2 linked regions of the Saccharomyces cerevisiae S288C genome follow. The protein of the gene in region 1 binds, or shares a complex with, the protein of each later gene. Each region holds a gene or a part of one and is shown on either strand. Other genes may lie near its edges. A codon is read from its position in the direction of its gene.

Region 1 (2,990 bases):
GTTGTTCTCGTTGTCCTCGTTGTTGTTCTTATTCTTTTCATCGCCGTTGTTATTTTTGTTGCTTTCGTTGTTGTTATCCTTGCCGTTCTTGGTGCTATTGATATTATTATTTATGTTGTTTTCAATAGAAGAAATATTTATGTCATTGTAGTTGTTACCTGAGTCATTATCGTCAAAGCCTTTGGTTTCGTCCACCGTGGCATTGAAGGCTGTGGAGTCAAAACCAGTACTGTCAAGGCCTGAAAACATCGAAATATCCATAGAGTTTAAATCGTTGAACATTACATCCGAGGGTTGGGCCTGCTGGCTTTGGATTCGAGTAGTGGTTAAGGGAGAAAATGCGGCACCGTTATTAGCAGCATTTGCGTTCTCAAGTTGTGTTTGACTGGATGATTGAAGAGATCCAAGTTCTTGATAATTCTCTTTGGAACCGTTGGCATCCGTTGTGTTCGCAGGTGCTGTTGTGGAGAAGTTCAAACCAAGGCCATTTTTTTCCTTTGAATTTTGCTGGAGTTGCTGCTGTTGGGAGGCTTCTTCGAGTTCTTGTCGCTTTTTTAATTCTTCTTGTTCTCTAACCTTCCTCATATTTTCTTGTTCAGCCCTCTTTTTTTCAGCTTCCTCTCTTTCTTTCTCCTTTTCTTTTCCGAGTGCAGTAAGAGTTTCTAAATATGAAGAACTCTGGCTTAGAGAAGTCTCTAAATCATCTAAAATTCCATGAAATAATTTAACCTTCTCTTTCAATAATTTTTGCTGAGATTGACTGAAACCATTGACGAGATAAGAATCTAGTTGTACATTTTTTAACTGTTGTTGCATCATCATTTCTGCTCCAACTTTTAGGATGTCATCGAAGCAAACAGTAAGCTTATTTTTATACGTCATTGTTCTGGTATTGCTCCCCCGTTCAGAGAAATTGGCTGTGTGAACAGACGAAACTGGGCTATTTTGTACTACCATTACTTTCAGACGGGCAGTTTATTTGGGAGGATCCGCCTTCAAATTTAAACTATCTTGAGACCAGAACATCTATTGAAATTTTGGTGAATATTCCAGCAACCCTCTCTATCCCGCTTTGAATTTCTTGATGTCATTGGAAACATTTAACTTTTCTCGTTACAAGCGGGTAATATCCTAATCATTGTAATTAAGACGTTGCTTCCCTGGGAAGAAAATAGTATAAACATAAGATATAATAGTTTTTAAAATGGTCAACGTATGCGATGCACAACTAAAAGGTACCAATTCATTAAATATTATAATATTTACTTCTTACTATTACACGAAAGACAAGTGTGAAATGCCTAGGAGATTGATGATTGACAAGCTCTGGCCTTGCAATAAAAATACTTATACACAACTTCAAATAATATAGAAAAGAAAGAAGACTATAAGCTAAAAATGTAGACAACCTCATTTAAATATTATTCTTAGGACTTGGTAATAATAGCTAATTTGTATATTATTCACCTCGGTCACCGCCTGTAATCACCTTTAACGAAAATAGATGCCCAGCCAATCAAAGCGCATTATGGAGTCGTCTAGGAAGGGGCCGTCCCATCATTGTAAAAGTTCATGTTAAATTAGATGGAGGATAACAATAAAGGTATCGTACACACACTGCTAAAAGAGCCTCAATCAATTTGTGAAGGTATAACTGTAGCCGTGAGGATAGGAAAATGTTACGTTCAATTATTGGAAAGAGTGCATCAAGATCATTGAATTTCGTCGCTAAGCGTTCATATGCAGAAGCTGCTGCCGCATCATCAGGTTTGAAGTTACAATTTGCTCTACCACACGAAACTTTATATAGTGGCTCCGAAGTTACTCAAGTGAACCTGCCTGCTAAGTCAGGACGTATTGGTGTATTGGCCAACCATGTTCCCACCGTTGAACAATTACTACCAGGTGTCGTTGAAGTTATGGAAGGCTCTAACTCTAAAAAATTCTTTATATCAGGTGGATTTGCAACAGTTCAACCAGACTCGCAGTTATGTGTAACTGCAATTGAAGCTTTTCCATTGGAATCCTTTTCACAAGAAAATATAAAAAATTTGTTGGCAGAAGCTAAGAAGAACGTTAGTTCATCTGATGCCAGGGAAGCCGCAGAAGCTGCAATTCAAGTAGAAGTTTTAGAAAACCTACAATCCGTATTGAAATAGCGTTTTTATGGTACGCATTCTAGAACTTGAGGGGAAGAAGTCTACGTTTTTAAGTGTTGACAAGCAATTCGCTTGAAAGCGCCAAAATTCATTGTTTGTTCTACTCGAATTTAAGTTTCCATTTTGGTTGATGTCTTAAGTATACAGAGAAACCGTTTATTAGCGTATATATACAGAAAATTTTATTATTTTATATTCAAAAACAAGAAAACAAAAGAGAAAACATTAACATGTAATTTTCATAACTAATAGTCCTAGAAAGTAATACTTTTTACAACTGTTTCTTTAAATCCTGTATGAAAGCCCTAGTTGCAGATCATCGTGTTATTCCAGTGAGTTTTCACTTCCCTAAGTCCTTCCTATTTATGTTTTAGTCCTTCTTGCACAGCAATTTTACTTCGGGCACTGTTGCCGTATATTCTAAAAAAATGAAAAAAACGTTCATGCCCCAGCGAAAACCAGTGTTTCCTCGTATTCGTGTCAGTAATTACACCAAAGTTTGTTCTACACTAAATCACGAATAAAGTGGGAGATTGAGTTCAACAAAATATCTGATTATAAAAGTATGAGAACAAGAAAATTAAGGAGCCTCCATAATAAGGTGCTTTTAATTGAGAATGAATGTTCATTAGTTGCTATATTGATGGTGATGGAACTCCAATTACCTAATCAAAAATATGAATGTTTATGCGAATAAGAGTTTGTAAAGAAAAAGATCCCTGTAGACTGGATGTGAGATGATGATTTCATTCCCGGCCTCTTAAATAAAAACAATTACCACTGCAAAAATGTTCTTCAAACGCGTTTATTATATAATGAAAAAGAAATTCA
Region 2 (2,793 bases), on another chromosome or scaffold:
CTTGATAGTGGCCTAAACGTAGTCATTATGATAAAGTGAGGATGTGTCTGTGTTGTGAGTTACAAATGCACTTCTTTGGACAGGTATAACAAGGATAACGTATACACCCTTTTATATATGACCGTCCCCCCATACAAATTTGTGCTCGTATGCCGAGTGTGATCTACTCATCGCTTCGTTAATGAATCGTTTAGCCAAGAATATAGTAAACGTGTAGCAGAGTCATACCCCTGATGGCTGCAGACGCAGGGAATACTCAGCCTCGAAACAGTTTTCAATTTATGTGCGTATGCATGGCTATAATCTTCTATTTCTGTCACCTTTCGTTTATTCTAAACGAATTTGCGACGTTCAACGAAAGCGCGTTGAAAAAATTAATCTCTGAAGTTAAACGGTCGGAAAACAGACAAAAAAGTTGTTGTTATTACTTGTAGAGGAAAGAGCTATTTCATAGCTCGTTTGGGAATGCAGGGGTGACGTCCTTCTTCGGGTGTGTTGTCCTAACTTTCCTTAAACACATTGGGCTATCATACCAGTGAAAAAGAAACATACAATGGTCAGATTCGCTTTATTTGGCTACGAGAATGTGGCGGCTAAGTTCCCTCAACAACTATTCCACCAATCTTGATGGCTTTTCTAAGGCTCTAAGTAGACGTTAAGGTGGCTAAGATTCTAAAATTTTGCCATTTTTCGAGGTTGTGCTTCGCCCTATCCCTTGGAAAACATTTCTAATCATCTTAAATTCTGTGATTGAGAACGTTTTAACGTTATCTTAAACGTTTCCATAGAAGAACGAACGTGAAGGTTTGTAGCTCGTTAAAAGGCGATCTTGAATGATGTGAAGAAGTGTAAAAGGCTTAGGAAAGTTGCTTGTTGACCCGGTGTCGTTCAATATACTCCTATTACCCAAATGGCAGTTTCATAGAGTGATATTATTTCGTTGCCTTGTGTAAGTTAGAAGTACTTCTTGTCGATTGTGAATTCGGATAGCCGCTAGAACGCCAATCATTGCGGAGGTTTGCCATCGCATGGATACCATAGCCATCTGCACATTCTAATATAGATTATATTACTTTAGACCATGTCATTTCATAATCGTTGGTTTAAGCGGTGTTGTTTCCACAGTTTGTATGAGAACTTTTGTCCAAAGTAAAGTATCAGTAACGTAATCTGAGCAAACCTACATTAAATCGTAACTCCGCGAGATTCTTTTGTTCAGGTGGATCAGCGGCGTGGTTTACTTCCGATTTGCTCATCGTGCGCATAGCAGCATTTATTCCTCTAATTCGCTCGATAATCAACCTTTCCGCACTACGACGGTGGCAATAGTTGGACCTTAAGATATGCCTATCTGAATACAATTCTTCAACTCACATCAGTGGGACACTAAATAAAGCATATGGTATGAAATACTATGAATTATTGAATTATTGGCAGACACAGCAGCGACAAGTCAGAGTGCTTACAAAAAAAAAAGAGTTGATCCGGCTAAAGAAAGTCTGATTTACGTATTTATCCAGGTTCAAACGGATTGCCAAAAATAGTCGATAACCTCGGAGTAAGCAAAGCAACAATATATTTGTTCTTCGAAAAGGTAAACTTCTTAACTTCTATAGAAGCATTGTACTAGTTCTCTCGAAGAAAAAAACTAAGAAAGCTATAGCTGTATCTTACCAAGCCATGAACTTGAGGAATTGGTAATCCTTATTAGGAAATACGCTAAACTAGGTAATAGCAGATGATTTACTAGCTTACTATCTCACACTAAGTCTGGCAACGCGCTTATTTTTTAATACTTTTATACGAACCAATGAAATTTGATCCTCCCCTTTTTCGTCTAGTTAAATGAAGAGATACAAGTAGGCCTTTCTATTGAGTACTTAGCAAGATATGTATTTCTAAGAAACATCAACAGTTTCAGCCCACAACCGATTCATAAAATGTCTGCCTGGAGGAAAGCTGGTATATCATATGCTGCATATTTGAATGTGGCCGCTCAGGCTATCCGTTCTTCATTGAAAACTGAATTACAAACCGCTAGTGTTCTTAACAGATCGCAAACAGATGCTTTTTATACCCAATATAAAAATGGCACTGCAGCTTCTGAACCCACTCCAATAACAAAATAGTTTAACGCTTCCTGGGAACTGCAGCTCTTTTTTTACTCGCTGATATACATTTTAAATATTCTAGCAACTGTGTATGAAAACTTACGTACTTTTATACGGGAAACTAATAATGACTACAATGATATTGAATACTGGCCGCTTCGAAGAGTGGTATAAAGTTTGTATCATTGCATTAAAAGAAAAAGAAATATATGTCCCATCATCGCCAATCGCAATGTTGAATGGTCGTTTACCACTTTTGCGGCTGGGCATATGCAGAAACATGCTGTCCCGTCCCCGACTGGCTAAACTGCCATCTATAAGGTTTCGGTCTTTGGTCACCCCTTCTTCATCGCAGCTCATTCCTCTCAGTCGGTTGTGTTTAAGGTCACCTGCAGTTGGAAAATCACTAATTTTACAAAGTTTTAGATGTAATTCATCCAAAACAGTTCCAGAAACTTCTCTGCCTTCAGCCTCTCCCATATCTAAAGGATCAGCAAGGTCGGCACATGCAAAGGAGCAATCTAAAACTGATGACTATAAAGATATAATAAGGTTATTTATGTTGGCGAAACGGGATTGGAAACTGCTTCTTACAGCCATACTTCTTTTAACCATATCATGTTCCATAGGCATGTCTATTCCTAAAGTCATAGGTATTGTCCTTGACACACTTAAGACGTCA

Evidence for each region.
Region 2: the proteins of ATP16 (region 1) and ATP15 are in contact, whole or in part, in a crystal structure (PDB 3ZIA), measured with the Saccharomyces cerevisiae proteins. Residues at the interface, in NP_010280.1 of Saccharomyces cerevisiae: His40 (codon at 1,794), Gln73 (codon at 1,893), Leu74 (codon at 1,896), Leu75 (codon at 1,899), Pro76 (codon at 1,902), Phe91 (codon at 1,947), Ile92 (codon at 1,950), Ser93 (codon at 1,953), Gly94 (codon at 1,956), Gly95 (codon at 1,959), Phe96 (codon at 1,962), Ile110 (codon at 2,004), Glu111 (codon at 2,007), Phe113 (codon at 2,013), Glu116 (codon at 2,022), Ser117 (codon at 2,025), Phe118 (codon at 2,028), Ser119 (codon at 2,031), Asn122 (codon at 2,040), Ile123 (codon at 2,043), Leu126 (codon at 2,052), Arg140 (codon at 2,094), Ala143 (codon at 2,103), Glu144 (codon at 2,106), Ala146 (codon at 2,112), Ile147 (codon at 2,115), Gln148 (codon at 2,118), Glu150 (codon at 2,124), Val151 (codon at 2,127), Leu152 (codon at 2,130); in NP_015052.1 of Saccharomyces cerevisiae: Ser2 (codon at 1,944), Trp4 (codon at 1,950), Ala7 (codon at 1,959), Gly8 (codon at 1,962), Ile9 (codon at 1,965), Ser10 (codon at 1,968), Tyr11 (codon at 1,971), Tyr14 (codon at 1,980), Leu15 (codon at 1,983), Val17 (codon at 1,989), Ala18 (codon at 1,992), Ala19 (codon at 1,995), Ala21 (codon at 2,001), Ile22 (codon at 2,004), Arg23 (codon at 2,007), Ser24 (codon at 2,010), Ser25 (codon at 2,013), Leu26 (codon at 2,016), Lys27 (codon at 2,019), Thr28 (codon at 2,022), Leu30 (codon at 2,028), Gln31 (codon at 2,031), Arg38 (codon at 2,052).

Annotation. Positions count from the first base shown.
Region 1 is NC_001136.10:441,353-444,342, forward strand, and holds ATP16 (F1F0 ATP synthase subunit delta), read left to right. Parts: upstream 1-1,676; coding exon 1,677-2,159; downstream 2,160-2,990. Other genes in the region: MED2 (Med2p), read right to left, coding at 1-957. UniProt on the Saccharomyces cerevisiae protein: Mitochondrial membrane ATP synthase (F(1)F(0) ATP synthase or Complex V) produces ATP from ADP in the presence of a proton gradient across the membrane which is generated by electron transport complexes of the respiratory chain.
Region 2 is NC_001148.4:28,139-30,931, forward strand, and holds ATP15 (F1F0 ATP synthase subunit epsilon), read left to right. Parts: upstream 1-1,940; coding exon 1,941-2,129; downstream 2,130-2,793. Other genes in the region: PBI1 (Pbi1p), read right to left, coding at 1-26; ATP-binding cassette permease MDL2, read left to right, coding at 2,344-2,793. UniProt on the Saccharomyces cerevisiae protein: Mitochondrial membrane ATP synthase (F(1)F(0) ATP synthase or Complex V) produces ATP from ADP in the presence of a proton gradient across the membrane which is generated by electron transport complexes of the respiratory chain.